Linked DNA regions of Arabidopsis thaliana. The protein of the gene in region 3 interacts with the protein of the main gene of each other region in a pairwise test. Each region holds a gene or a part of one and is shown on either strand. Other genes may lie near its edges. The genes, in order: AT2G42660, AT3G56770, ATHB13 and MBD3.

Region 1 (8,141 bases), on a different chromosome or scaffold from region 3:
GCTTGGAATAATATGCAAATACCGTTCAAGGTTAAAACACTCTATAGCCAATCCTGAGACAAAAATTTTAGTGGATATTTAATCTTCTCCTTTTCCGCATATTCAAAATTAGGGGAATAGGGGGGCATCCAAACATGGTCCTTGAGAGAATCTCAGGAACCAACTATTCAAGCCATGAGCCTGAAGTCTGCAAAAAAGCCTATGACAAATGGTCTAGAAAGTATGAGTAAACACAGTTCGAGTCAATTCTGAGTCTGTCTCTAGTTGGGTGTTTTATCTTCCTGATACTGCCACCAATGTTATCTCTCACTTGGTTCATTTTGCCTCTGTTGTCAAAACAGATAGGAATCTTCTGTATGCCACCTTCTTCTATGATACCTCTTCATAACCATCCGGGCATGACCGTGCTAAGCAAGCTCGTTTATGGTTCAATGCATGTGAAGTCATATGATTGGCTAGAGCCTCAACTGACCGAACCAGAGGATCCATCACAAGGTAACCGTCTTCTTTCTGTTACTCTCTCAGTTTTTATCCAATCACTCTTCTGGTCTAATTGTAAACTATTTTGATTCATAAGAAGCAAGACCTGCTAAACTGGTGAAGGATACTGAGATGACGGCTCAAAGCCCAGTAACAACATTATATCCGAAAAGTGGTGGCAACATTCACTGTTTCAAAGCCATCACCCATTGTGCTATTCTTGACATCTTAGCTCCACCTTACTCTTCAGAGCATGATCGGCATTGCACTTACTTCCGGAAATCCAGAAGAGAAGACTTACCAGGTAATACAACTAAGCTCTCCAAAAACCCGATCCCAGAACCATATTAGAACCTTTAGTGATATTGATTTGGATTGTGAACTGGAGCAGGTGAATTAGAAGTGGATGGAGAAGTGGTCACAGACGTGACATGGCTTGAGGAATTTCAACCGCCTGATGACTTTGTGATACGACGAATTCCGTACAGAGGTCCTGTCATTAGAACTTGATGATGATCTAATCTTTACTTGTCACATAATTTGGGCGGCTTCGGGTTTTTATTTTTTATTTATATTCCTTTCGGAAATAATTTGGGGGGTCTTTTTATATTGCAAACGGGATTGTACATACTAATTTGTGATACACCGTGTGTCTCCGTTTCATTATATTGCAAAAGACTTCTAATGGTTTTTAGTCTTCGGTACTAGACTTCTCTAATGGTTGTGTTTACAAAATCCTTAAACCTCGTTTTGCATAGTTGTGTTTCTTCCTTCATATGGTAAGGTCACACCAGCATAGAAGTTGCCCCGATACGCCCAATTTGTAGGTTGTGCAGTTGGTAACTAAGTTGGGATTGATTTGGAAATCGGAGTAAAGTTCATGGGATGTGTGATCTTACTGTTTTTAAAAAATAAGGGAATGAAATGGCGTCGTTGGCTTTTTCTAAGTCTAACAAAGCAAAACTGAACAAAAAACAAAATCACATTCTGGCTACTACGTAAGACTAAATCCCATCTCCCTCTACCAAGCGGCTGGCTGAGTCTTTATTACGTAAGGACTTAGTGGATATTATCATAAAATTAGTGGATACACTCTATTTGCTTAGTGGATTTCAATGGAATTTCATTCCTCTCGTTTTATTTTTTGGTCAATGGATAAATTAGCTCTCCACTTTATCCATTTCGGTTTTCATGAAGAAAATCAGAATTATCAATTATTTATGATGATGAAGTTGAACAACCAAACTAATTCATAGAATCATAGTGGTTTATATGTAGTTGAAGCATGGGCTTAGGGACTAGGATCCAAAAAATTTGCATTGCGATTTCAATACTAGACGTCTTAAATGGTAAGAATATCCGATTTGTAATCTACAGGGCAAATGAGAATAGTCTAGATTTTGGTCCAGATTCTTTGGTTATAAAAAAAACAAAATGTTTAACAACGAACATTGATATGGTCCCAACCTAGACCTAGACCTAGACCCAAAGACCAGGATTATAAAGAGAATAAAGAAAGCATTTCGGGGTAATCATGGTTGAAAATTGAAATAGATGAGCCCGTTCCTTCATGAGTAAAGTTTATATAATCGTGGAAATTTTTAACATGCTGATTGAGGTGTGATACCCTTTGATCCCAACCGCTTTGAACGCAAGTACGCAACCACGAACAAAAGTAAGCATGGAAACAACTTAGAAAAGATCAAGAGAAACCATTACTATGTTACGTTATTAATTTGTTAATTGTTACTCTTCATTATAATGCATTTTTCTTATGAGTGTATAAATAAAACTTTTGAGAAAAGAAGATCGAAGCTAATAATCATGGTCCTAAAGATACGTAGGCATGTGATGAGGAAGAATTCAAAGACGGTGCCTCATTTTGCGGCGATTCTTTAGGGCAACATGCAGAATTTTTTAGCTTCTTGCATGCATAATAAATAAATATATCAACTGGATCAACGTCCTTTTTACATTTAAAAATGGTTTTGTGCATATAAAACGTCCTTTAGGGAAACAGTTGTTATATTTTTTGTCAAAAAATAAATGGTTTGTACATATAAAACGTATCTAGTAAACATTCACAAAAAAAAAAATCCTCTGAAATGGTAAAATATAAAAGAATTTTCTTGGAAGAAGTAGAACTCGACAAAAGATTCTCTTAACCAAAGAAATTCATGTCGTTTAAAGAAATTCAAGAACTATTGAAACAATTTGAAATTATATATTCCATAAAAAGAGAGCATGGGAAATGGAGGAATTGTGAATGAAGTGTCGGTACGTAAACAGGTTAGGACAAAACAAAGTTTCCTCATCTTTCTTAGTGCCCACATGAGCCTCTACGATTCCTTCTCTCCCATCAATGCTCTCTTCAATCTTAGTTAATTACTTCGAATGTTTGTCCTATCTTCTCTTCTCTCTCATCTCCTATCTTTCTTTCTCTCTCTATCTGTCCATAACCCTAGATTTGAAGATCGAGGGCGATCATGGTAAAAGACTTCATAGAAATTCTATAACATTCAAGCTGTGTTTATATGAATACGAGCGTTGAAATTTGATCCCATCGCGTTTTCATATATGTTCCAAAATGCTTGTATAGATATGTGTGTGCATAGACATAGAGTGTCGGAAATTTGCATCGGGACGATTTATAATTAATTTGGTGTAGGGTTTGAGGTCCTTATTAATTTCACATAAAACTTGGTTCAATTTTGTAAAAAGTGTTTGTACTTATTTTTCTTGATTTGAAACTTATTTTGAGAATTTATGATTAACGACAGCTTATCTATGTTTACAAATACTAATTCAACTCACAAGATGACAATAAAGACAAAGATTGCACTCTAGAAAGAAAGTTGCTTTGCCTAATTTGAACAATTAAAAAATTGCATTCAAAGATAATATACCCGTAATTATTTATTAGTTACCTCTCTCGAATTATATACTGATTGGTAAGTTGGTAAGCCCTACAAAAACATATAGTTAGCCAATTCTCGAAGAGAAACCAAATACTAATATATGGAGGTGTGTAACCCAATGCCCATTGAAAAGGGTCACCAATAATAAAACCAAAAAGATAAAGACAACTTCTGTTTTGTACATACGTGAACTCAAGAATCTTTGGGAATCACATCCTTAACCATTTGACAAAACTCCCTTCTCTCTTAAGTTTTTATTTAAATTCTGTTTTCAAACGTTGGGATTGAAGACCGTCATGTATTTAACCTAAGTATATGAGAAACATGAATATAGATCAATAGCCATCATGATAAAACCAAATGCGTAGAAACGTAATTCATTCCACCACATAGTAATCGGTTGAGAGGTAGACAATAGTTTGTACCTTTTGTCTATCAGGGTTCGAATCAATCGGCTTAGATCGATAGTTCTCATGTTCCGTTTGAGTTCCCCAATGCTAATCTGATTTTTATTTTTTTAAGTTGTTTTGGAGACACTCAAAAACGTGGTTTAATATGACAAAAGGGTAAAGCGTAGTCTCCGGCAAAGGTCAACTTAATTGGAAATTATTAAAGAGAAAATTGTTAGAAAAACAAGAGTGGTTTGGTCGGATTGAAATGTTTGATACATCATTCACAAAACAACAATTCTAATGACACAAAATATTCGACTGCCAATTGTGTATACATATAGACTGGACTATTTGAACCAATATGCTTGATATCAAATATATGATTAATTAACCAATTTAAATAGCCTAGCCATTGTCACATGATATATATCAAAGGCACGTTAGGTAAACAGAAGATGTTTTAAGAAATGGTATAGTTTTTGGAATCTGAATTCATATTCAAATTCACCATATTTAAATCTTGTTTAAAGAAAGATATTATTTTTAAGAAGTAAAGGAGATAAGTTTACATGTCATTGTCACTAAAAGAACAAACGGATATTTTTCTGGTATGTTAACAAAAATGAAGCAAAACCTAATAACTAATGTGATTTCACCAAACGGAAGATTCCAACACACTTTTCCATTAAAAAAAAACATACAATTATACGTAAACATGCATGACATAGATAAGAATTTTATATATCTATATAATTATATACTATAGTTTACGACAAATAAGACTATATTATATACTTATAAGTGTATATATATGATTATAGCTAGTATTATTGAAGCCAACGCCGAAATTATCATAGAGATTTAACCTCTCTCATGGGTTTTTTTTTGTTTGTTTTTGAGTAATTGATCTCGAGAGCTAGCTAAAGACACTCTCGCCGGAGAGACATGGCCGGGAGATCTTCGCCGGGAAAATGCTCCACGTGGCTTGACCTGAACAGAGAAGAAACAGTGGAGAAGAACAATGAAGAAGAGTCATCAGTGGAAGACGAAGACCAAATCACGAATAACGTTAGACAGTATATTCGGTCCAACATGCCTCGGCTTCGTTGGACGCCTGATCTTCATCTCTCCTTCGTTCGTGCTGTCCAACGACTAGGCGGTCCAGACAGTAGGATTCTTGTTCTCTCTCTCCACGTCTCTTTCTCTCTTTCTCTCTCTCAGCTTTGTAATGTAATTGTTGTATGATTTTAAAGGAGCGACGCCGAAATTGGTTCTTGAGATGATGAATCTAAAAGGATTGAGTATTGCACATGTCAAGAGTCATTTACAGGTAATCTTCATCGTCTGTTATTCTAAGATTATCTCAGTTTTGTTCATCTTTTTCAATGTTTTCATGTTTCTGATTTCAAGATGTATCGAAGTAAGAAGCTCGAGCCGTCTTCTCGCCCTGGTAAGTTAGTTTTGATCCGCAGACATTTACCATTCCTTCACTGGGTTTCATAATTGATGGAAATGACTTTTGAACAGGATTTGGAGCTTTCATGAGTGGACAAAGAAGCTATTTGATGGACATGATCGACTCTCGATGTATCCCTCATAGCGATTTAAGACATGCCTATAACTCTAAAACCGTTCCTTCGAGGTCATACAAAGAAACAAGTTCCAGTTACTAAAATGTTTCACATTTGTATATCCGATCCGACCAAGGAAGTTAAAATTGCATTCTTTTCTGTAGGGTACTCAATCAAGACGCGGTCGTTACAAATCTTGGAGGTAACTTTCTTATGCGACCTTCGAGCTGGTTTAGCGGGTTATGCAGAAATGACCGAGACAGCACAGAGAACAAGACTCTGCCTCTACTCGAGGTAACTACCTACTTTCGTTTTAAGAGTTATAGAGGAACAGTTTTGTTAAAAACCGAGGAAGGTACTGTAATCTTGGTGAAATCTTATGCAGATTAGGAAGAAGAACAATGAGAAAAGAGTCCGAGATGAAGAAGTATCATCAGTCAAACGATTGAAATCAATGTCCGGAGGTGGGATACAGTTGCCTGAGTTTGGAAATTGCAGGCAAAAACCAACAGATGATATCAACACAATGCTCTCGCTCTCTCTGTTGTCGACATCATCAGAACCGTAACCAACATACTAGAGAGATGAAGTTTAACTTTAAAAGAGATTCAAGAGTAGAGACTTTTGTTTTCCTTAGCCGTTTCATGGGATGAGTACTTAGCCAGGATCTGGATCAGGCTTGAGTCAGATCCTGCAAGTACTTATCCTTAGCGGTTTCTCTGCATTCAATACAACACCAATTCTGGAATGCAACAAAACACATGTAATAATATGTTTCCTCGTCAAAACCACCAAATCAACTACATGGCAAGTCACTAGTTTGATGAAATAGTAAACGATAATAAAAGTCCTAAATATATAAGAATCATGATGATGATACCATAATAAGACAAAGTCATAATCAGTATCCAAAAAAATCACTCAAGCAGAAAGAATAGAATACTTAGTTATAACGACATTAATATAAAATCTTCTTTTCTTGGTTCACCTCCTCTTAGTCTTAGCTTTGAATCCACCACCAGACTCATCAATGTCCTTCTTTAGCTTTTTCGACTTTTGCCCATTCTTACTCTTCACAATGTCTGGTTTCCCACTCACTGCAGACTTACTACTACTCATCTTCTTCCTCTTCTTCTTATCTCCAGAAGCATTGAGATCATCAGCAACCTCATCTTCTCCAACACTCCTATCGAATTCATCATCACCAAGAGTCTCAGATACATTACTATCCATATATCTAACCTCATGAATCTTTCCATTCTTCTTCTTTGTCTTCACACTCTTACTACTACTATCATCAACATCACTTTTAGCTAATCCTTCACCATTCTTAACTTCTTCAACACCTAAAGGATCAATCTTGAGCTGCAAATAAGGCACTGTCTGATATAATGGCAAAGATAAACTCTCAGATAACTTCAAATGCAAAGATCTTATGTATTTCCACCTACTAGGCAAAACATCAACAACACCATTCAAAGTCGCCGTCACATTCTCAACGATATCATCGCTTTCCATGGACAATTTCGCAACTTTGATCGCACTACAAGACCCAGTCCTCATGAAGAACATAGCAGCACCACAAGCTTTCTCAATCTGCTCTTTCCAATTCATATGCTTCAAATCAATAGCCACAGGAGTCTTCTTGCTCTGAAAGAACTTCTTCCCAATCAATTTTGGCAACATAGGAATCACTCTCCGATCTGAGAAAAACATATCGTATGAATCACAAAGCTTCCGTTTCGATTCGAATGATCCATAATCCGATTTCAGCTTCGAAAGCTTAACAACTTTCGTGATTGGTATGTTCTCTGATTTGATATTCTTCTTCGCATCTTCCTCGGTGAGACCACTTTCAGGTCTGTCGTCGATGATGAGACAGAGCTCCGGTGAGTCTTCGGTAGTGTTAATTAGCGGATGCGGGAGAGGAATACGATAAGCGTTCGTAAAATTCCTCTGTGGAATCTTCTTTAGGGCTACGACTAGGTAAAAGAATCCGTCTTCTTCTAGAAGCTGTGGCTTCTCCGTCCTTGATTTTTCGTTTCCCTCTTTGACCAGAGCCTTAACTGCATCGTCCACAGTCTTGGGACTTACTCTTGACATAAGTGGTGGCGGCGGTTGCGGCTGAGCTGCGGTGGTCGGAGGAAAAGAAAAGTTATTTAGGGTTCTGTGAAGGAAGATTCAGGGTTTACGGAGGACGATGACTTTTAAACGAGTTTGTTTTGGGTTTCTTAAGGCCCATAATATTGGTTAATGGGCTTAATTATATTGTTTTCATAAATTGTCCTCAAGTTTTTGCATCGGAGAAATCTTTTCTATTAAACGAGTTTGTTTTGCGTTTCTTAAGGCCCATAATATTAGTTAATGGGCTTAACTATGTTGTTTTATAAATTGTCCTCAAGTTTTGCATAGGAGAAATGTTTTGAAGATTTTTTTTTTGTGTGGTAAGAGAAACTTTTAGAAGATGGTAATTGGTAAGATTTAAGATATAGGAAATTATGACAAACTAGCTTATTTTATCAATACATGAAATCTTTTTTATTTCATGTTAATGTAGATATAGATATAAATTTAAAATATGAAATTAATTATATAAAATATGAGTCATGTAGTACTTGGCTGTCATTTACCATACTTGTCTAAAACGTACTTACCAAATATATTTGATGCTAATTTTTATATACAAAGAAATAAAGTATATACACCTGGACAATATAATTATTAATAAAATTGTTTTCTTTATTTTCAAGTTTTTATTCCCTTCGCAAAATGTCTAATTC
Region 2 (8,645 bases), on a different chromosome or scaffold from region 3:
TCAAAAGTCTTGTTTTTTTGTTGTCTTGCTCCTGTAATTTGTAACCTTGGTCTAGTTCGCGGTTTTTTATTAATGGTGTCTCTCTAGTAAAGCATTGTATCATGGTTTTGTGAAATGCAAATTAGGTCCTATCAATGACTAAAAAGGTCAAAACGTGGTGTGGTGTGTATCATTAAAAAAATAGAAACCGACATAAAAGTTTCCAATTCGTGGTCGTTTAAGAAAAAGGAAAACGGCATAAAGTTTCCTATTCGTGGTTGAATTGGGATCATTCAATTGATGTGAATATAGGTAAAATACCTTTGTGTTTCTTTGTTCACGTTCGTTTCATACTTCCCCTAAATTTGTCTCATCATGGATAACAAGAAGCAGAGATATTCCAGGAGCATCCGTGACGATCGTGATGAGAGAGATAGGACTAAGCATCATCATGAGAGGTCTCACGAAGGAAGTAAGAGGAAAGATAGATCAGAGGAAGAGAATGGGGCGGCTAGGACGACAAACAAGAGTTCTAGGTTTGAAGATGTAGCTAGGTTTGAGAAAAGGCCGTATACTTGTTCTATTGCATCGGACACTACTTCTAGTCAAATCCTTGAAGCTGTTAAACGATTTCAGGAGCTGGCAATAGATACGGCTGTTGCACATAAACAGACCAAGGGCTTTTTTCTGCGTGTAGATGTACTTGGAAGAGAAATAGATGAGTATGGGCATGTGATTAATCTTAGTACATTGATGGTTAACAACAACAAACACAAGAAAGATGTTTTTCAGAATATTCTTAAACCTCCCCAACCTTTTAAATTGACAAAGAAGGAAGAGAAGAAACTGCAAACTCTAAGGCGTGTGGCAAAAGAAAAGGAGAAACAGAAGATGATTAGACAAGCGTTGTTTGAACCACAAAAATCAAAGGTGAAATTGAGCAACCTAATGAAGGTTCTTGCGTCTGAATTAGCAACCCAAGACTTCTTCTTATGAAGAGTTTCCTTCTTCTCATTTAACAGATTAACTATGAAGAGTTTGTTAAGGTCATGATGGCTAAGTGATGCTGTTTTGGAACCAAACAATGGCTCTAAACTTGGTTTGCATCTCTTACATATAAATTCTTGTGTTATGTTCTAATTTTTTTTTTGTGTGGGACTCGAGGTATGTTTTCTGGTTGTTTAAGAAACGAATGTTATATCCCTTTATGATCTATTTTGCGTCTGAATATTTTCAAAAGCCTTGTTATTTCTGTTGTCTTGCTCTTGTAATTTGTAACTTGGTCTAGTTCGTGGTTTTCTATTAAAGGTCTCTAGTGTCATTGTTTTTTTAAATGCAAATTAGGTCCTATCAATGGCAGTCAGTTTACGTTAAATTGATTTCCTAACGGGGCTCATTGAATAGCTTCAAATGATCAACGAAACAGAAGGCCAATAAAAACCTAAACACAAGAGAATGTGAAACACCTCAGTAGAAATTTTAATGAAACATTGAATTTAGTGAAGCATCAAATCATAAGATGTCCGCGAGTTTCTTCCAAATATTAGCAATCATTTAACAATTTGCTTTGTTTCTTATAATTTCATTCAAAAGAACTTCACATGACTTTGAACCTCTTGGCATCGAAGCTAAGTCCTCTTCAATCTGTTGCTTCGCTTCCACTTCACATGGATATGTCTTATAGAAGATTTTTGCCGTTTTCAAACAAAGCGCATGGTTCAGGAGATAACTCACCAGATCCTTATCTCCGTATCTCCCTGTGTACCCTTTCCACTCTAGAGCTTCAAGACTGGACAACAAACATTCGGGAACCAAACTTGGCGGTTCCCAACGACCCAACGGGGTTAGTAAGTAAACCTGCGATCACGAGAAAAAATGGTAAAACTGCTATTAATAATAAGATCATTGAGGTCGAATATTAAACACTAGTATAAATTACAATGGTAAAGGAAAAAAGGGAGAAAACTGAATACATGTTCAAGCTTGAGGACCACCAATTTAGTGAAACATAGGAGCAAATCTACAAGCATTTCCACAGATCTTTCACTACATATGCTCAGCTCCAGATGCACGATTCGACTGAAGGTACTTGCATCCTAGAAAAAAAAGAAAAAAAAAACACGATATTTCATTTATGTGATGGTTCCAACAAGATATAACACGAGAAAGAAACGACATGGAATGAAAAAAGTTACCTCTAATTTTGATGGAACTCCGAGCCTAACCCGTACAATATACCGGTAACGGCTTGCATATGCCAACTCTTGAATGCTGAAGTACTTGAAAGAAGGTGCGATAATCGCAAGCTTTCGAGTGTAGTTTTTCATCAAACTAAAAATATGCTTGGAATCTGCATCGACTCTTGTGATAATCGACAATCTTTGTAAGTAAGGCATGTCGATATCCAAATTCAACAAAACATCACTGGTTTTTTCTTCCAGTGTTAGGTCGGAGAGAACAGGGCAATTGGATAAAAGCCGACAAAAGGAATCATTGTTAAAGTCCTCCATGCGGGCAACATGGAGAGTTTTGAGGAGTGGGAGACATACCGCGGAAGAAGAAGAAATGCTTATCACATCCTTCAAGCCTTCGAGTTTCAAGGCCATAAGTGTTTTACACCAAGAAACGTCGTACTCAGCAAAAAAGAAACGAGATTCTCTTATGACCATTAGGTCAGTAATAAAATTGCAATTGGATAAAAGCATTTGAAGGGATCCAAAGTCGAATAAACTCGAGTGGTCAATGTGCAGAGTTTTTAGGGATGGGAGAGAGACCGTTGTAAGAGGAGCTTCCACATCGATCACTATACCTTTGAGTTTCAAGACAACAAGTGTTTTGCAGGTAAACAATTCAGGAGGTAATACGGTATGGACAATACAAGCATCTATCTCTAGCTCACGGAGGTGGCAATGATGATGATGAAGCGCGGTTCTAATCCATGGTCCAATGTCTTTATTCCACAGGGTCACACTTAATTCGACATGAAGGCTTTCTAGAACATGAGATTGGTGTGAGAACAGAGACTTGTCGAGAAATCGTTCAAATCTAGTGTGATCCCGAACATCGTACTTGAGTATAGGCACCCTTGTCCAAAGAGATTTCCATTTTTTTGACAAAAGACTTGTCACTACAACATGTTTAGTAGAAACGAATGACAAAATCTTCAAGATCAAATCGTCGGGCAACTCGTTGATACATGAACAAACCTTCTTTGTCATTGTCTCTGTTTAGGTCGAAAAAACATTAGACTATGTTTAAAACCCTAATTACAAATAACTTGTTTAGGTCAAAACTCTTTATTGCTTATCAAGTTTCTCCAATAACTAATAAATATAATTTCCAACTAATACTTACGAGATTTCGTGCGAGGTAGATTCTGAAGATCTGGAGTCTGGAGTCTGGAGTCTGGACGAAGAGGATTCACCGGAGTTATGAGATCTCACAAACCCTTCGACTTCCCCACAAAGAAGAAGATAACCAGTTAGTATGAACTTAAACCGATCTGATTAATGTTCTGGTTCAATTTCTTGGTTCAATCATATCCCTCGGTGTGTTTATATGGGCCAAGTAGAAAACAGAGTCTTAAAGCCAATTAATTTCCTTCTTTTCAATAGAAAAGGATAAAAAATCCATTACATAAAAATGCAAATGAGAAATATCAAAATTGTGCTTTCAATAAATCCCCTTTTAAAGAAGAAGAAACATAGAAGTTGTTGATGTGTTGTGTAGATATACTAACAAATTTTTTATTAAAGTTTGATATGATATTATTTGGTAAAAGATATATAGTAAAAAATTTCTTCTAAGTTTTTGCTTTTGTAAAATATTTCTTTTTTATGTTAAGATAACTTTGTAAACAAAAATTGGAATACCTTGCCAGTTGCCACCCTTCACTACCCAATTTTTTTTGTTATCTAGAGCTATTAAAAATGTTATGAAACATACAATTGCAATCGTTCGGTTGCGGAAAAATAATGAAACCTTTTTTCAAATTTTTTTTTTTAAAATATTTCTACAAACACCTAAGTATATATCTATGTACATACGACGACAAAAAAAAATATGTATGTACATACATCTCCTCTCACTCTAAGCTTATTTTCGTATAAATTATAGTATAGTCATATTCTTTTAGGACAGAACCCACCGAAAGAAAGCTCCAAACCCAACAAAAAGGGAGGCGGCGGAGAAGCAAACAACAGCAACAAAAAAATGCAGCCAGAGGTTTCAGATCAAATATTTTATGCCTTCCTCACCGGAGGATTATGTGCCTCGTCTACTTCCACCACCGTGACGTCGTCGTCTGACCCTTTTGCCACGGTTTATGAAGACAAAGCTCTTGCTTCTCTGAGGAACCATAAAGAGGCTGAGCGAAAGAGAAGAGCAAGAATCAATTCCCATCTCAACAAGCTCCGCAAGTTACTCTCTTGTAACTCCAAGGTACACAAATCTTTTACTTTACTATCTCACTACTCTACTCTAAACTTATAATGAAACTTAGATAGAGACTTGAACCGGAAAATTATAAAAAGCATAGAAGATAAAAATGGAAGATTAAGCATGATGAAACTATTAATTCTTTTGGGTTATTTAAGATATGAAATTAACTTCTAAAGTTACATATTCTTCAGTACTCGTCTAAACATGCATATAATTTAATTAGGAAAAGATTTATGAAATGAGGATTAAAGTTTTGATGTTATCTCACCAGAATTTTGTGTTTTTAATTAAATCTTTATATCCAAATGACAATTTTTTTGTCTTAATCAGATTAATCTTGCTTGTGTGATATACGTTACTACAGTCTAGTGTCTAGCTAAGATTTTATTTATTGGTGAGAAAGGTGGAATATTGGAAGTATATCACTTATAGAAAATGAACCATTTTAAAACTAACATCAGTCAAATGTAATGTTTTCGAATAATAAAAAAGCTGCAAGTACTGGGAATATCTAGAAAATTGAGGAGATATAAAAAGCTTACAAGCCCCTTTTTTTCTCTGAAGCTGATAATCACTTTGTCGGGAAAGTTATCGAGCTTTTTTTTTTCTCATTTGAAAACAATTGAAACATGAAGACAAAATTTCTCGAATCAAGACAAATTCTAATGATCTGACCTTTTCTCTTTCCTTGTTTCCTTTATTTGTTTTAATTTTCTTTACACAGACAGACAAATCCACACTACTAGCAAAAGTGGTTCAACGAGTCAAAGAACTAAAACAACAAACCCTAGAAATCACCGACGAAACAATACCGTCGGAGACTGACGAAATCAGTGTACTCAACATTGAGGACTGTTCCAGAGGCGACGATCGACGGATAATCTTTAAGGTATCGTTTTGCTGCGAGGACCGGCCAGAGCTCTTGAAAGATCTCATGGAGACACTCAAATCTCTTCAGATGGAAACTCTCTTTGCCGACATGACAACAGTCGGTGGTCGAACAAGAAACGTTCTCGTTGTGGCCGCTGACAAAGAGCATCACGGCGTCCAGTCGGTGAATTTTCTACAGAACGCACTCAAGTCTTTACTCGAACGGTCAAGCAAGTCGGTGATGGTGGGACATGGTGGTGGTGGTGGGGAAGAAAGGTTAAAACGACGTCGTGCGCTGGATCACATCATAATGGTCTGATCTCGATATGACTTGAGCAATTATTTAGGGTTTAACTTTATTATATAATTAATTAACGTGAGTATAATTACCACAAATCTTTTGTTTTTTTTCTCAAAAAAAAAGAAGACTTTATATGGGTTTAGTTATAAGTTTGAGTAATGGGTGTAAACATGTGTTGTAACTTGTAAGTAGGAATTTGTGTGTTCTTTTCCGATTCTTTTAGAAGAAAATACAAAAAAAGAAAAGGAAACTATAATTTTGTACAAGTTAAATCAAATTTTAGGGGTACGTAAAGTATAGGGTGATGACGAAGATTATTAGATTGTGGGAATATTTGTACAGACAGAAGAATCTAACAAAGAGATGTGATTGGGTAAAGTACTTGCAGCGAAACAAGACTTTCAAAACAGTATATGTATTTTAGAACTTAAAAGCATCATGAAATGGTGTATATAAAGTGAACGTACGATGCAGGACAGTCAAGAGAAGCTGTTTGTAGAATCTTAATGAAAGAATATATGGAGAAGTGTTAGAGTTTCAAAGCTACCTCATGTTATCTTGTCCCCTAAAGAGTTCTGCCTTTTGTTCGTATCTTTCTGAATATTTTTGTACCTTCATTTGTTTTTATGTCTTCCTTGAAGAAATTTTTAACCAATGTTATATTTACTGTATTTATCTATATATGTTTGACCACCTTTTTTCCTTCGTATGAATCGATCATATTGTATATAATATATTAAGAAAAAATCAAATTTATTTAGTATACTAGACTTCTAGGTTTTTTGGAGCACATGGAAAAAGCAAGCACAGATTCACAACAGAGTAGGTATGACGAAACTGGAGAATCTTTTCGTCAAATGTGAAAACCTATTTCTGTTAATGTAAATAAATATACTATTTGTTATTAGTAAATGTGGAGGACGGATTAGTGCTTGAGAATGAGGTAATACTTTTACCGTATTTGCGAGAAGGTGTAACACAAGAAACAGTACCACAAGACAGAATGTTTTTTAAGATTAAAAACTATTTGCAGTTTCATAAAATTTGCAAAGCTAAAATATTATGAGTACTAAATTGTATCCCTAAACATTACTATTTGATTAGAAAAAAGAGTAAACAAACAATGAAGAGGCAGGGTAAAGGCGTGAAAAAATAGAAACGAGAAAAGGATAGAATTGATGGGGCCATTCTTCGATGAGACAAAAAGCATTTCTATTTTTCTCTACTCTATAATATGGATTGTGGGGATGAATTAATTTCTTAATATATAAAGTAGACTCATTGTGATGTATGGGTGAATTTCTTAACTTATGCATGTTTGATTAATTTATTTATCTCGATACCACAGTGCCTTCACTTTCCTGTGCTGACATCGGATGATTTTGAAGTTCCTTTTTCTTTTATTTTACATTTGAATACCCTTTAAGGATTATTATTTATGATTTAATTCTTTACTCTTTCACCAAGTAAGGCACGAATTCACATTCTTCAACTAGCTATAAATGGATTTATAGCTGTTGTATTTTAAATTGATAAATTCACATCGCTCCACTGTTTGGAGAGAAAATAGAAGATGTGGTCTAAGTAAAGCTTTGATTGGTGCTGAAACATGATAAATGGTCGAGAGATGGCTAAGGTTAGTATATATGAAAAATATGAGCAATTAACTACAGACTTTTATGTTATATAATTCTTGAATTGTTGTCATTATTGACCATTTAAGGGGTTGGACATTTTAAAACTTCTCCAAACTCTGACGTGAAATGTGTAGGCTTTTGCAGTTTGGGAGACTATACTAGAGAGTATAACATATTGAGCTTGAAGAAATAAAAAAGAGTAAAGCAAAAATATAAATCGAGAAAGTATGTCTAGTAAGCGTGATGGTGTAGATGGAGTTGGTGTCTCCTCGATACTCAACCTCTCGACCAAAAAGAAAACATAAATTTAGCTTTTCACAAAAACTGAATAATTAAAGTTCCATTTTGAAAATAAGCTATAGTAACAAAGTACAATTTGAATTTGTATATTCTTCTGGAATATGGATTTACAGCAGAGCAATCACTAACAACACACTAAAATGTTGACAAAAAGGAAGAGCAATCACTCTTTAATGTGAGCAGTAGTGTTAAGACTGTTAGCTAGGTTAGCTGCGTCTTGAGTTAAATGGGTTTAGCCCAATTTGATTTAGCTCGAGTAGTATCTAATAAGAAAAAACAGATAATGTTCTACATATATTTGTATAAATGACATTAGAAATAGAAATAATTTGACCTTTACTTATGACAGTGGAAGAAAGCGACAAGTCTTCGGCTGAAGGTCCAGTAACAAGGTGAAAGACGAAACGATATCCACTAGTAAGTATTGTATTGGGCCAGGCTAAGAACTGATTCACATTCAGAAACTGAGACCCAATAACAATTGTCTAAAACAAAAACAAAAAACTGACCCAACCATAGTTCCTCTTGGAAAATTTCCACATATAGTTAGGAATTCAGTGCGTATGCAATCATCTACTTATCCAAAAAAAAAATGTAGCTTTTATAATTTAGACTCTTTACGAATCTACAGACTTATAAAGAAGTGGAGGAGATGAGGGAATCAAGGAATAAGAATTCTTTGCTTTTCCTACTTTTCTCCCATTTCATTCATTGCTTTTGGATTTGTTTGCTACCCAATGTAAGAGCATCTCCATTGGAAGTATCTCAATGAGATACCCAACCAAAAAAATAATAATTAAAAAAAAAAGTATGAAAAAAGAGAGAAAAAGTAGGAGAGAAGGAGAGTTGAGTTTCTCTTCCGAGAAACTTTGAGTAATTATTCTCATCCAATTTGGACAAGTGTCATCATACTATTAGTTCAATTATTAAATAATAATTAATGTATCTATTTTAATTAAAATATTTTTTTTTTTTTTGAGAAACTTTCCTTGTTTTTACTGGCCAACAACATTAATATTTGTGTGCTTTATTCTCCTAAGTTTCCAACTTTCCACACCAATTTTAGTTTTTCATCTATGAAATCATTATTCACGGTTTTTGTCAAAAGATTTTATATT
Region 3 (8,776 bases):
ATTTTTTATAATTTTTAACCGTCATTTACTATCTTCTTCGACTCAATAATCCAGATTGTTATAAAATTATACGCTAACTTGGAATCGTGAAAAGTGGATTTAAAAGTTTGTCGTAGTCAAATTTAAATACCGACAAATCATTATAGTGACTTAAAATGTATTAATAACTATGTGGATGAACGTCATTGTTGAAGTTGATTTCCATTGGACGCTCTGGTTATCGCTGTCAATTGTCATCTGAATTAGCTTAGACTTGTAACCTTGTACGTAACATGTCAGAGATATTTTGCTTCAGTTTGATTCTCGACTATAAGAAAACGTTGTGAACTCCTAAAATATATAACCACTAAAGATGATTGTACGAATAAGTGTCGTGTCGATATAATTACGCTTCTGAGCATAATTGATGGATTTGACCTCTGAATTGTGTCCACACACCATTCATTCATTATAAAGTACTCTAGATTTACAACTTCAATAGAAACTTTGAAATATGAAGATTAAAAGAGATATTTGAAACTGATATATTTATATGGCTAGCTAGTTCCCACTTCAAACATCTACATGGTATGGATATGGAATGTGTGTTAAAGTTCATGGTATGGATTTACGATCGTTTAAACAACTTCTTATAAAAAAAATTAATAAGGATATATTTATAATTTTCTATATGTGATGTTTAAGTATTCAAATCATGAGTGGACCAAGGTAGGGGTAAGATATAAATTATTAAATTTAAAGAACTTATAGCATAACTTGTAAATTTTGGTGTATTGACCCACTATAACCATGTTCGATACTCACATTTCAGTTAATAACTATTTTTTAATTAATACTCTCTCTATTTCAAAATGTAAGAGACATTTTTATTTTGTTTCATATTATAAGATGTTTTGCAAGGTTCTATACAAATTTAAATATATTTTTATTATTTTTAACTATTTATATGCTGTAATATTTTTTATGATTGGTTAGATTTGTTTTTATTAAATACAAATCATATTTTTTTTTTAAAAAAACTATCTAAATATTTGTATTTTTATCTTAAACATCTTATATTTTAAAGTAAAGGGATTAATAGTTATGTTGTATTTAACGAATTTTGGGGTCCGCCACTAATAGATTTTTTTTTGTTTTTTACCGGCACGGATAGAAATCTTATGACATATTCTATCCCAAAAGAAATAATCAGGCAACAAGCTTTTAACTACAAAAGTTCAAAAATATACGTACCCAATAACATTTATAACTAGATAGCAAACGTAAGGAATGTTTTACCACATGTACAATTCTATGATATAGGATTTTATCATACAGACACATGCACACAAGAAGTCATTTCCTAGTTGTACAATTTATAAGTATATTACGTGGAAGTGATAAGAGTGAGCATATAAGTGTAGTTGAAGCATCCAAGTTTACAAAGGGTCCATTAACCAAAAAAGCAAAGCAAACCAAACACGGTTAGCTAAAAAGAAAATTGTACTTTAGGAAAGAAGTGGGTGATTCTAGTGGGTCGCACCAACGCATTTCGTTTGATATGTTTTGTTTTGAATTCTTATAGTCATTTAGAGACTAGAGAGATCGTGTTGAACTAGAGCTACATAGTATCATTTGCAGTATTTTTTTTAGTTAACACCGAGTATCGAGATATTTTCTTATGGACCTTTGGGTTAACACCAATAATTTTCAACATGGGGGTTTGAACATGTTAACTGTTTTGATTTTTCAAATCTAATGAAAGTTAAAATATCCTTTGATTTTAATCTAATTTAGGATTCTATAACTGGCGACACTTCAGTTCTCTGGTTTTAAAAAGTTGGCAATTCACCACTAGTTCTTTAGAAGAAAAAATCAACGGTGTTCTAGCCTACAACCGCTTTTATATATGGCGATCAATTTTTTTGGTTCAACATCGTTGAAGCCAACATTGGCCTTAGTTTCTCCACATCTTTGGGTATTAAGCAACTTTTATTTATAGATTTTGTCGCATTCTTTTGTCGCTAGCATCTTTTAAAATTTTAATTGATTTTTTCTAATGATTGGTTCAATATTTTTTTTAATAAACATAGATTGTAAGTGAGATTTCAAATTTATCACCAAAAGGAAACATCGAATTCTTTAAGAAATTTCCAAAAGTTTAAAAGTGTCGGCCATTTGAATGTGGAAGATGAAAAGGAGTTAAAAAGGAGAAGAGTCGATTAAAAAGGAGAGTGACAACTTTCCAACCCCAAATTGTTTGCTTGCTTTCTTCCAACTCTCTTTGTCCTCTTCCTCTATCTCCCTTGGAATCTGTGTGCGTCTAATGTCTCTTGCTGCTTCTTTTACTCTCATCAAATCTATAATCTCTTCTACTTAAAATCCCATATTATCTTAAAGAAATTGAGGATATCTGATTTCTTAAAATATTTTTGTGTTGATGAACCAAGACTTCTAATGGGACTATGCATTTAATATATGTCATTGATAGATGAGTACTATTTTACACGGTGACACATTATTTTAATGCATGATATGTTACTTGATACCTCATCAATATTTCTGCGCGAGAACGAATGGCATTGTCATCAAACCGGACAACAAAGGTTTTCATCAAACCAAACTCTAATTTGCTGTCTTTTTTAATATAAAAACAAACTATAATTTGCTGATAGTGATGTTAGATTTTTTTTTCTTAAAAAAAAAAAAAAGACACACACGGTGAAATGAATAATGTAACTGTAGAATAAGAGAAGGGTTATGAAATTGATGGTCTGCGGCATCGTCAGATTTAAATATCGTACGTCTTTTGTAAGGTCTCGTGATTACAAATTTCACTCGTTTAGATTTTGTCCCATCATTTTTCTTTGGTCCTTTTAACCCGCTCGACCAAATCATGACATATGCAGAATTTATTTCATGGATTTAAACAAAAATAATGATTTGTTTCATGGAAAATGTCCTTTTCATTTGTGCTATTCCATTTATTTCTTCCCACTTCTGAATATGACGACTACGACCACATGGTGCCAGTACCCACGACTAAACTATATAATATACAATTTATTTTATTTTTCTCCATACAGAAAAATGTTGGGCCATAATGATATTATTTTTTATATAATATAATGGATATTACCCATTTTTTTACATCTCATTTACTCAAAAAGTAAACAAAAAACCTCAGTGGTGTTTGGTTGCAGATTTCAAAGTGAGCTAATGATATAGATTCCAGTTTTTGAAAACATGCATGGGTTCTTCTGATCAAAATTCCAAATACAAAAAAAAAAAATATAAATTTTTTTAAAAACAAAAACAAAAAAAACAGGTAGACCAATTTCAATTGTACTGTTGCTGATCAAGCCATGGCCAAAAACCAGAATGGTCATCCATTGCACAGAACATGTTACTGATACTATTCTCTTCTTTAACCATACTCTGTCCTGAAGATGAGTTTTGAAAGAACTGCATTGTTGTAGTAGTTGTCGTTGCGGTGGCTGGCGACGGTGGGAAGAAGTGTCGACCAACTGTCTGTGGTGGCGGTGGGTGGCCACCGGTTAATGTACTGTCGTTTGATGGCGGCGCAGTTGAGATATCTAGTCTGAGATTATCTGAACTGTTATCACTTCTGTTACTGCAAGATCCTTCAGTTTCTTTGTTTAGATTTATTGATTCTGTTTGTTCTCTGTTTTTTAATCCCATTATCTGCGTAATTAAAGACAAAATTTTAAACATAAACAGAGTTACTGTACAATGTGATAAGCATAAAGAAACTATTGTTTTCAGATCTCTTTCCAGACAAGAGTGAAGAAAAAAAGAGATAATGATGTCTGAAAAGTCATGAATCATGTCCAGTTTTTTAACCCTACCTGAAAGCAACTCCTGATCCAAATAATTATAAACCAGAAATATAATTTTTAACCTTTTTTAAAAAGAAAAAAATCATCCTTTAGATGGAAAATAACTGTAATTATTGATCATTAACCCAAAAAAAAATAACACATATTGATTTTTTTTGTTAATTTATGAGATTAATTACCTCAGCTTGGAGTTTCTGATTATGAGTTTGAAGAAGATCATTTTCAGCTTTAAGTGTATCAAACTGTCGTTTAAGAGTATCATAATCTTTCTCTAGCTGCTTTGTTTTCCAACGAGCTCTTCGATTTTGAAACCAAATCGCGATCTGTCTTGGTTGCAAACCTAAGGCACGAGCTAGCTGCATTTTCCTCTCTGGTTCAAGTTTGTTTCCAAGCTCAAAGTTCTTCTCTAGTGTCTTCACTTGTTCCATGTTCAATCTCCTCTTCTTCTCTCCCATTTGTGACCCATCATCTGAATAATCCTCTTCTCCATTCATATTGTTCCCTGTTTCTAAATCACAACACCCTTCCATTGGAGATCTCTTACCTAGAAACGAAGCAAATCCTGAAACAGAACAGAACAGAGCATTAGAAAGAGATAGAGAGAAAACAGAGGAGATGTGTGTGGAAGTTTATGTATATATACCATGGAGATCTTGAGGTAGAGAGCAAGAAGGAAGAAGAGGAGCAAGAGATGGAGATTGATGAGGATGATCATCTTCGTAAGAGGTTTGGATCATGAAATTTGAAGGGAAAAAAGACATTCCATTATTACAAGACATCTTCTTCTGTTTTGCAACAGAAGTTAGTACTGTTTGCTTGAGATTTTGGTCGTTTCTCTTTAGTTTTTTCTTCTTGCCAATCTTTGTCTTAAAGCCATTATCATGGTCTTATAAATCTGAAGCTCTTTGTGTGAGAGTTTGAAATCAAATGGAAAAAAAGAAGAAGAGGAAAAACAAAAGAGAGAGAGATAGTGAAATGTATCGGCCTAGACTATACCACTTCTGGTATTTAATTTCTTCTTTATTTCGTTTTATATAGAAAGGCTGAGAGAGAGAGAGAGAGGACATATGAGCTGAGAAGAGAAAGAGACGCACTCAATTGATTCTCTCGTTAAAAAAAATAAAAATAACACGATCAAATACAAGCTTAAACTTCATTTACGTTAAGCCAAAGTATATATAATTATTAACTCCAATTTTATCTTCATTTTCGACAATCGTTTATAGATAGATATTTTTTTAACCATTGTTGGCTTCCAAGTAAAAGTGGGATCCAATTTAATTTACCCTGGTATATACTTACTCTTTAGTCTTTAGGATAGTGGATTATTGTGTGGTGCGCTGAGATTCATCTATAAATAAAATTTGCATCAGACCACAACAAAAGACACAGTTTGAACTTTGAATATGATATTGAGGTGTAATATCTACTTTTAGTTGGAGATAGAACAAAAAAAATGGGGTTAAAAAATAAATAAATGTAATTGCAGATTAAAAATCGTAGAATTGACCAAAACATGTAATCTTAGTGTTTTCGTTGTGTTATTACTCATATCAAATTGGCATAATCCTAAATATTGTTGAAAATGAAAAAAGGAAGCAAATTACAAGGGGGTTTAGCTTGCGTACAAAGTGGAAAATGAAGAGATGATAATCAAAATGGTAAGAAGAGAAAGGACTCTTCTTTTTCCCCTTGGGAGAGACATGCAGAGAGGTGTTCTCTCTCACTCATCATACTTGTCCTTTAAATTTTATCTAATAACTTTTTCTTTTATTAGATTTGTCCTTTTTTTTGTAAGTCCAATTCTCATCTTAAATCATAACTATCAAAGTTGTGTCTCTCTCTCTCTTTTTATCATCTAAATTTATTTCTAAAGAACTTAATTTACAATTTATTTTTCGCTAAATCATTTGCATAGGCTGAGAACATATGTAATAAGTAGCTAACTAACGCCTTTCATACTTCTATTGATGTAAATTAATTTCATATATATAATGATGTAGTGATATTGGGGTAGGGACGAAGCTGGATAGTGAATGGGTCCAATGTTGATCCTATTTAATCACGCTAGTACGTATGGACTATATATAGACCCATCAAATAATCGTATTGTGTCTACATGGATTGACCTAGACCTGTGGATCTAGGGATTGTACATAATTTTATTTTATTTTTTGTGGGAAGAAGAGAGAAGTGATATTATTGATTTTCAGATGTTCTATGATGCTAGTTTTGATTATTTTGATGTGAAAAAGGAAGATTGAAATATTTAACAAAAGAAGAAGATAATAGCTGCACTTGTAAACCATAGTATAACTGTGATTTTTTTTTTAGTCGGATATATAGTTACTTTAAATTTGTTCGTTTTCATTCTTCAAATAAAAACGATTGCGGGTGAATTGGAAAGATCAAGGCAGTCAGAATAACATCAGAGTTCATAAGAAAATATATTATTTTAGGTGTCCGTCTTACACCACCCACCTTATCTAATACGGTCTTCATTCAGAACCTTAGTTTAATCTTTTAGTTCAGAATATGGAACGTATATAGTTAATCTTTATAGGTAACTGCTAAAGTCTATCGCTAAAAAGGTGAAAAAGTAGAAATTAAACTAACAAAATATAGTAGTGTAGAATTTCTCTATATGTATTGTTACTTCGTTTTTATTTAGAATTCATCATTTTTGTATGAAATTAAAGTTCAATAAGTCTAAAAAGTATGATCGGTCCAAACATAATTGAAATTTGGTCTGAAATAGAATGGAAAAGCAATCACCATCTCAAAATAGCGTTTAAACGAAAAAATTATATTGAAACTGTAAATAGACTTACAATATATACAAAAGCATGGATTATACGTATGTCCATGATCAACAATCTTGTAACATGTATTTGAAATTCTAGATCATGTCTATGAGAATCATGGTACATCAAATCTGATCTCATCAAACCTATTAGCTTTGACCTAACCTATCAACCGCAAGACAGATACCAAAACGAAACAAGAAATCAATTGACTACTGGTAATGCTATATGTATATATGTAGAGTAATATTGATTGACCAATTACAAAAAAGTTATACAATTAGCAAAATAACAATAATAGGAATAATCAATAAGTATCACAAAAGTAAAATTCTCGCTAAGAGAGAAGGGTTTCTCGTGCTATGTTGGCCGATTGATTGGTATCATATCAAATGGAAGTGATGCAAAAAATTCCAAATGCATTATATTAGAGAGTTACAAATATAAAATCTAATGATGCAATTTCTTAAAACCCTTTTGTTGTTTTCCATTTATTTAAAGTTCATATATATAACAGACCTGTTATATGTTAGATAGCTTATGTACACATGAATGCATATGTGCGTGTGTATATGCATGCATAGACAGACGTATAAAGATGGTGCGTGGGGTACTTAGGTTAAGGAAAAAACCAAACAAAACTACTATTTGATTAACCCCACATAAGAGCTGTTCTATCTTGTCTCTCCCTCCTTTCCTCTTCCATTCCTTTCCATAATCAATCTTTCTTTTTATTTTATTTTATTATTTTCTTAATTTCTCTTCCCAACATCCCTTGTGCCGTATTCATCGATGATGTTTACTCTAACATCATCAACCACATAATTATTAACATTTTAACGTTCATTTTCACTTTCGATTAGACTACTATTCATTACTTTGAGACTACTTATCCGTCTCTAACTGACATTTCACGCATCACATCGTGCCGTTCTGCAATCAAAACTTTTGTATCAAAGTACTTTTACTTATCCATGCATACATATAGCTTCACAAATACCCGAATATTTATTGAATGAGTATGATTTAATTTTTATTTTGTATGGAATGTGAATGACCCAAAAAGTTATTTTTTTTTTTGGTAAGGAAAGAGAAATTAAAGAAGTTATAAACAATCTGGTTTTTAGAAGACGAGTAAAAATTGTTAATTTCAACTAATTATTTTTAGTACTCAAGTATATATTATATTTATTGGCAAAACATAAAAGATGTAAACATCTAGATACATTTTAATCCATTCGAAGAACTTAACAAAAAAAAATTTCATACATTATATTACATTCGGTGTGGTACAGATCGCACGGTCAATCAATCTAAAGATCACTTGCGGTGATTGAGCGACGTTGTATGATTTTATCCATACTTCATATTGTTTACTGTTATGATCCATTCTTCACAAGATTGACTAGACGCGATATATGTGCACTCTTATCATCAAGAAGTGAAATATAGCGTATGATTAGATATGTGAATTTAAAGGCTAGTCTTACAAGTTGCTAGCGAATTTGGAAAACTTGTATAGTCGTTTTTTTTTTTCGGTATGATCACCCAACTTTGACGTATCTATTTCAGACACTATAAAAGCATATGTTTCGATTACTGTTTATCCAAATGGAAATGTCTCGCCCAAAACCTCAACATGAAAGTCAGGAAAGTCCAACAACGTAGTTTTCAAGAAGTCACAATATGTCCCTCCTCTCGTGTCACACCACTCCTAGTCCTAGCGAACTAGCTGCATAGTGTAAAATACTTTATATATGAAAAACTTAGACATAAATATATATATACGTGTGCGTGTGTGATGCATGTTTATTGTTTTTTATTCAGGCCTATATGCATTCTACATGTTTTAGATCAAGATGGTGATACAGAGACACTACTAATACAAACACTTGCATAAATCCTCTATGATTATGTCATTCGTATTCATTATTTTAAAAAGAAAATTTACGTCAATACTTGAAATACATTAATTGATATATGTTTTCCTAGTTTTGGAGAAAAGGGTGGTGTTCATATGTTGCAAAACACAAACATGTAAATACAGCAAAGAAGACATAGTGGACCCATGACAAGAAATAAGGCCCAAAAGTTGGGCTAATTTCAGCCATCACGACAAAGGCTACTTCTCAT
Region 4 (7,097 bases), on a different chromosome or scaffold from region 3:
AGATTATCTAGCTTAATCAACAAGCAAATCAAACGTTTGCTTAGATTCTCAAGTTACCTCCAAAACACATCTTACACTAAACCAATCAACACTCAATAATTCAACTTAACTTTACCCTATAATCGACCAAGATTGGATAAAAAGATTGGAACAGTACCTTGCAGAGAGACATGAAATCATGATCAGAGGTTCGATCACCGAGGCCGAGATCAGGTGATTCGTTACCAAACTCTTTTAAAATGGCTAACCTCTTAAGATCACCAACAAGAACACCAGGCTTCTTCACAAATCCAGTGGCTCTATTGGTTTTAGGGTTAACTTCAATCTCTGTTCCCAAAACTTTATCACCTCCAAGATAATCCTTCACAAACGCCTCCACCATCACAATCGGATTCGCCGTCACTACCACTTTTCTCTTACACTTATCAAACACCTCAAAACTGTCTTTCCTCACATCCGCCGCGTAAAACCTAAACAAAGTTCATCAGAAAAAAACTAAAGTGATCTACTAACAAGAAAACACTCTATGTTAGATCTCGTACCGTGGAAGAACTGCGCGAGAGACAAGTTCGATATCGCGGATTTTGAGACCAGCGAATGAGATGAAGATGAGGATCTGGATACCAAGAGATTCGGATACGAATAGGTAAGAGATAATGACGAATGGTAACGAGAGAAGGAGGATTAGTCCACGTAAAAGGCTTCCAGCTTCAACAGCGACGAGCATGAAGTAAGGGAAGGAGCTTCTTGAGAGAAGCAGAGTCCCGTCAAGATCGGCGGCTATCGAATCGTACTCTCCGTCTCTGCATTCCGTTATTGGAGGGAAGTTTTGACTCTTCTTCTCCGGAGACATTTTCACTCGCTGTGTGTGTGTCTCTCTCTCTCACTCTCGTTAATGGCAGTTCTAAAGAACAGAGAGCAAAAATAAGAAGACAAGAGAGGGAACGTTATGTTTTAAATGCACCTATATTGAAGACCGTAATATTAATTCAGTGGGTTATATCTATAATCTATATCTATGTGAATGAATATGATATATATATATATATATGTATATGTCATTAACTATGAAATATCCACTAAGAGCGTAAAGTGTAGGGCCACATGTCGAATTCATTATATGAAAATGATTATATGCATCTATACATGTGGTGATATTGTTGACACAGTCGAATTGTCTATAATCTTTTTAGAGACTTTGTCTTAGATTTGGGTTTAATTATTTAGTTGAAGTGAAGTTGTTAGAAAAGTTTTAGATTTAATGTAGCTTAGATATCAACTATATATTGGTTTAGTTACTAAACCAATATATAGTTGATATTAGATTTTAATTGCATTACTGTTGGGAATAATTTAAATCTTGGAGATGATATTGAATAAACTCTGTTAAATTTCTTAACCCATCAAAATAGGGAAAATAATAAAGGATATTCTAGAAAGCTTTATGAAAGATCAGTGTTAGCCAAAACCGACAAGAACCGGACCAATACGGGCCGTAACCTCATTCTAGAAACGATCTTATCATTTCAATAGAGGCGGTGGCTCGAGTCAAAATCCCACGTGGATTAGGGTCAAGAAGACCTCTCTATAAAATGTAGGACTAATTCGACACAAAGGAAGGAACAAAATCGAGGACAAAACCGCAAAACACACGACTTAATTTTAAAACACGACTATAATTTATAGATTAACTTGTTATGCCTTGATTTTTGTATTTTGCAATCGATATTTTGACCAATAAAAAAATTATATTCGATTATTTTTATATTTTTTTTTGTAGAATGTCACAAATTGATTACTTTTGTCAAAATAATTAGTTAGTGTAAAAATATATATGACCACAACAACAACAAAAATTCTTCGTTGTGCAAGTTAGGTTGATCTTGTTCTCACTACTTGAGCAGTTGAGCTTAATTTGTTTATTTGACCGTTGGGAGTTGCACCGCTTTGAGCCGCACATTTATGCTCATTAAACATATTTATAAAAAAAACGCATGAAAGTGTTTGACCAGAGACAAAGTGTATTAGAAATTCACTAGGCTTACACAAAAAGGCATGTTGAGCTGTATTAGAAGACCCTTAACAGGCCTCCATACTAGTCTTGAAGATGGGCCGAAATTCACTAGGCTTAAAGATGCGCCGATATTCACTAGTCTTAAAGATGGCACCACAGATGGCTCCGAGACATTGCATAATCATGTAGAACACTGCTCTGGTCAGAGACAATTTCCGAGCCAAGAACAGACCAAATGTTACGAAGAATGGATTATATAATACAGTACAGTATATGGTTTTGCCTTCTTATATATGTCCACATCATTTAAAATCTTAAACCAAAATTGAATAATTTAAATAACTCATAAAACTTTTATATGTATGCTTGTCTTACATTCAAAATGCGCATTATCACTAGTTTAATATTTCTATAACTGATCAGTTTTTAATTGGTTGACACCAAATGAAGTGGTCACTGACGCTATAGGATTCTATTGGGCTGCATATTAAAGTTTTTTTAAGAATTGGAACTTTTAATATTATCTAGGGTTGAAGGAACTAAAACGCCTGTCCTACTGATGTAAGGCTAGCCCTAACCTACATGTATCTCAAGCGTCCAAATTTACGTTAATACAATTTTCAAAGCATTGTTTTTCCTCTCCTTGGAGAAAGTACATGCAAAATCAAAATTAATGGCTCCGACTTTTCGAATCACCGCAAGCTACTATCTCTTCGAGTTCTGGTTATAATAGTACTTGATTAGATACTTCTTATAAGGCTTAAAAGCCAACTTAAATGCTATTGCAGTAAAGATTTCATTCCTTCTTCACTTCACTTTACGAATCTAAAGGATATATTTAGTTCTTCTTCACTTCAACTAAAAGGCTAAACTCCCAAAAAAATATTTTTATCTCTCTCAAAACTTGAAATATGGTGAGGAAGACTACTCAAGCTACATCTCACAAGGTATCGACAATATTTTATTTTTATTATTGCATGAAGATTTGTTTTGTCAATGCATGAAGATCCCAAAACTTGAAATATGGTGTTTTATTTTTATCATTACATGAAGATTCGTTTTTTATCATTGCATCTCACAAGGTATCGACAATGTTTTATTTTTATCTTAGTCTTTGTTTGGTTTTATGTGTGTAGTGAAAACCACGTTAATTGACTCATACGCTGCACAATGTTGGAAGTGTCTTAAAGTGAGATCTATAGAGTCACAAGAAGATTATGAAGAGATTCGTAGTAAAACACTGGAAAAGTTTTTTGAATGCAAGAGATGTGAAGAACCTGGAGATATGGTAATGAACTTTGATTCCCTTACTATGCGTTGGTTTCAGGATGAACATAGTATACCCAAAACCCCTCAAGGTTTGAAGAGAGTTTTGGTCGTGAGAACAAACTGCGTGAAAGTCGATGTTTACTATGAATCATTGGCTCCTAGACGAAAGAGGTTTAAATCTATAAAGGAAGTTGCAACGTTTATTGAAGACAAGGAAGAATTTAAAGACATGACGCTTGAAGAGGTTTCTTTTGCCGCACCCAAACGGCTGAAACTAAAAAAGAAACCTGTCGATAGTCATTCTAGCTCAAGGAACACTGAGGAAGATGGTGTCTCGAGAGATGCTTAGTTTTGTCTGCTATCACTTATCAGGATCATTCATCGCTTCTCTTTATCTCTTCTCTTTTGAACTTTTGGTTTTTGTCTTTGATTTCTTTTGGTTTTTGTCGTTGAACATTTGATGCTTTATGTTTTCCCAGTTTAAGCAATTTATTTCCTCTTTTATCATATCTTTTATCATGTACTTGAGTAATCTGCCTAGTAATCTCCTTCTCTCTGAACAAACTGCTACCTAAATTACTAGCAGCAAACTTTGAATCATACACGCTTCTTAGAATTCAAAGCTTCTGAAAGTCCATCTTTGAACAACTCAACCTTTGATTTATCTTTGCACTTCTGATATTTTGACAGTCTTAGACCATTCTGGTAGCTTTCCTTGTAGCTATCTCACACTAACTGATACAGTGACGTTCTTGAGGCCCTTTTAACACAATGATTTAATCAACCTTGAGATCTTTGCAAATCATAGCTTTTGATCATTCTCTGAAATTCCTTCTCTTTGAAGCAACAATATCGAAGGTCTCTTTCTCCTTGTGATAGCAACAGATTCATAAATACTTCAATATGCGAATCCTTCTCTTTAAGAACGAGCTATGAGAAGACTGATTCTTCACCACTAACTTGTGTTTTACGTTTCTTCAACAAACTTAATTACAGGTTCTTTCATATTAATAACTCTTCATGATAAACCAAGTTCTGAAGATGCCAACGTAGAGATCAGTCTCAGACTCCATTACTCAAATGCCTTGTAGTTTCAAGCCAATGCTGACATTCATGTCTCTTTGCCTTTCATGTCACTAAAAACTCTTCGTTCCATAAGACTCTGTATCAACTGTTCTGAAGGGTCATCAGTAAGCTATGTTCCCGGACTCCAAATTGAGTGTCCTTATACCAGAATCTTGTCTCACATGTCTAGAATATCTCTGACAAAATTCATCCCATTCAGAACTCATTTGGTCATCCGTGTGATGTTTCCACCGAAACTGGTCAAAACTGAAACTTCAGATGAATTGTGCCCGGATCAGGTTGAAGAATCTCAAATAACACACAAACCAACCGTCAAAATCTCAATCCCACCGTTGAAAATCAAGACAGAAAAGCTTGCCACAAAGTTTCGGCTCGATCAGATTACATTTCACCAACCAAACGTTTCCTTGAATTAGACATTTCAGAACTGGTTCATATCTCCTCTTTCTTCTCTTCTCCCCCATGGTTGCACTTTGTTAATCTCTTTCATCACACAACATTCTTTATGTGACCAACAAGATCATCTTTTCCTTAAAAATGTGCTCTCCAAGCTAGCCTTTAAGATTCTATTTTACAGTTTCTTGTCTTAAGGCAACTAAAATTCTGCCTGTGAGACAATCTCTAAGAGATCTATAATCTACATAACCTTAATCTTGTTATTTGCACCGGAATCTCAGACTTAAAGTTTCTCAGAAGAAATAAGATGATGATGTTTATCGCCCTTGCTAGAATCACCGGAGTAACCAAAGCACCACATAGCATATGAAAAATTCCCAACTGTTTAGCTATGTGGTAAGATGAAAATTTTCGATGTGGTATAAAGGCAGCTTAGGTTAAGACAGCTTCGAGGCACTAGTAGTAGATTTTTATGTGTTATAAAGGCAGACTCATTACAAATTTTGTTTACTCAGAATAGATATCAAACTTATGAAACCTATCAAAATGCTAATTTTCATTGAAGATGGCATGAGCCAAACGAAGGTTGGCAATAGCTAAGGTCAAACCAACAAAAGTTTGCGACTTGCGTATATAGTTATATCAAAGGAAAGTTGACGCGAGATATAGTCAAAGTATCAAAATAGACATTTGCATAGATAGACAAAAAATAACGCAGGTTAAAGGTACACATGAAAATAGTCTCATAAAAGATGAGTATTTTGTGACCTTTTGAGCATCCTAGGTAGAGCTTATATCAAAAGCTAATCCTTAAGGCCGATAAACATAAACAAAAGTAATCACCTTAACAGATTCTAACTGGCAAAGATCATTACACGGGTTCACCTGTTACCATCATCTTCGATATCGGTTTACTCCGTCCTTTACGACCAGAAGCTTTCTCTGTTTGAAGGGTATAACCCACATTCTTAAGATACCAAAGTGCTGCTTCTGCTGCCTGCTCAGCTGCGATTTTCTTCTTGTACTGTGGATTCCCAAAACACTCCAAAACCGTTATCCGAGAATCCTCCTTCATTTCAACCGTAACTTTGCCTGTAAATCTGAACAAAACAAAAGAAAAACATGAATGATGCTGACACTAAAGATTTCTAACCTTTAAAATGTGAAAAGAGTGCAGAAATTATGTGCTCTTACATTTTCATATGGCAAGGACCCTCGGCGATATACTCATACAGTGGTGCTTTCCAATGCCTCACACTACATAAATTATACAACTGTGATTTGGCTGAAGATCTCTGAGTTTCTTCTAAACAACATGCATGTGAACAACAGAACAAAATGTCAAATTGTCGATAAATGAAAACTAACCCCAAAAAAATGAGACATAATTGACAAGTTTTAAGCTTTTGATTTTTAAGGAATCCAAAAGCTCTTCAAGAAAGCAAACACAGGTACACAATACTAACATTCTTATTCCATAACCATAGCTTTCATCTTTAAAACCCTTATAACCAATAACATTAACAAAACCTTAGCTAAATACAACTGATAACACCAAAATTAAGTAAACAGTGTGGGGAGAAAAAGAGTAAGTACCTTCAGTAGTGGGCTCAGTTGTGTGAGGCCTCAAATCTGCTTCTGGTTCGGAAACAAGAGTGTTCTCAAGTGTAAAGTTTGGCTCCATCTGCGTGACATTGTCTTCTTCGACAGTATCGTTCAGCTTCCTTATCTTAAACTTACTTTCGCATCTCTGTAGCAACATCCTCTTTTGAGCCTGAATAGAGACAAAGAAAAAATAATAATAATAACTGATCCAATCCAACAAAAATTAACAAAAAGACATGACAAAATGATTATTTCTTCTCATTTAAGAAGATCTAAGCCCAAAAGGAAAGACTAATATTTCTATTTATATTCCGCATTTCTTACCACAGAGAAGGAAGATATGGGATTTGATGAAGACTCTGGAGGAGGAAGATCCATCGTTGATTTCAAGCAGAAAATTCTTTTTTTTCTTTATTGGATTAATTAGCTTCAGCTACCTTATTCCTTTATAATAAGAAACCAACACAAATCAGACAGACTTTAACTACAACAAAAAGTGTTTCAAAGACATTGCATATATATAGACTAGTTAATGATCACCTAGATCAAAATCCAGAAGCATAGTGCTATTATTAGTAAAAACGTTACCCATCAAAACCACATATGACCCATGACATAATCTATACATACAAAGAATTCAATAATAACAACAACTTTCAGGACCACGACGCATAATCACTCTTAATTCAATAATATTGTCTCAGTTGCCTGAACATTTGCTAAGAAA

The links.
Region 1: the proteins of ATHB13 (region 3) and AT2G42660 interact in a two-hybrid assay, tested with the Arabidopsis thaliana proteins (one large-scale study listed by BioGRID).
Region 2: the proteins of ATHB13 (region 3) and AT3G56770 interact in a two-hybrid assay, tested with the Arabidopsis thaliana proteins (one large-scale study listed by BioGRID).
Region 4: the proteins of ATHB13 (region 3) and MBD3 interact in a two-hybrid assay, tested with the Arabidopsis thaliana proteins (one large-scale study listed by BioGRID).

What each region holds. Positions count from the first base shown.
Region 1 is NC_003071.7:17,764,853-17,772,993, reverse strand, and holds AT2G42660 (Homeodomain-like superfamily protein), read left to right. Parts: upstream 1-4,614; 5' UTR 4,615-4,735; coding exon 4,736-4,958; intron 4,959-5,043; coding exon 5,044-5,120; intron 5,121-5,200; coding exon 5,201-5,240; intron 5,241-5,317; coding exon 5,318-5,432; intron 5,433-5,525; coding exon 5,526-5,655; intron 5,656-5,746; coding exon 5,747-5,929; 3' UTR 5,930-5,944; downstream 5,945-8,141. Other genes in the region: AT2G42670 (2-aminoethanethiol dioxygenase, putative (DUF1637)), read left to right, coding at 342-495, 578-784, 872-990; AT2G42650 (Ribosomal protein L1p/L10e family), read right to left, coding at 6,346-7,464.
Region 2 is NC_003074.8:21,026,165-21,034,809, reverse strand, and holds AT3G56770 (basic helix-loop-helix (bHLH) DNA-binding superfamily protein), read left to right. Parts: upstream 1-4,055; 5' UTR 4,056-4,191; coding exon 4,192-4,419; intron 4,420-4,484; coding exon of another isoform or gene 4,485-4,593; exon of another isoform or gene 4,594-4,682; intron 4,683-5,143; coding exon 5,144-5,608; 3' UTR 5,609-5,908; downstream 5,909-8,645. Other genes in the region: AT3G56790 (RNA splicing factor-like protein), read left to right, coding at 355-975; AT3G56780 (FBD, F-box and Leucine Rich Repeat domains containing protein), read right to left, coding at 1,534-1,836, 1,953-2,075, 2,175-3,197.
Region 3 is NC_003070.9:26,255,008-26,263,783, reverse strand, and holds ATHB13 (Homeobox-leucine zipper protein family), read right to left. Parts: upstream 4,997-8,776; 5' UTR 4,619-4,996; coding exon 4,483-4,618; intron 4,402-4,482; coding exon 4,019-4,401; intron 3,685-4,018; coding exon 3,319-3,684; 3' UTR 3,003-3,318; downstream 1-3,002. UniProt on the Arabidopsis thaliana protein: Probable transcription factor that may act in the sucrose-signaling pathway.
Region 4 is NC_003075.7:175,882-182,978, forward strand, and holds MBD3 (methyl-CPG-binding domain 3), read left to right. Parts: upstream 1-3,140; coding exon 3,141-3,632; downstream 3,633-7,097. Other genes in the region: GPAT8 (glycerol-3-phosphate acyltransferase 8), read right to left, coding at 158-470, 543-853; AT4G00420 (Double-stranded RNA-binding domain (DsRBD)-containing protein), read right to left, coding at 5,637-5,865, 5,960-6,071, 6,362-6,539, 6,695-6,748. UniProt on the Arabidopsis thaliana protein: Probable transcriptional regulator.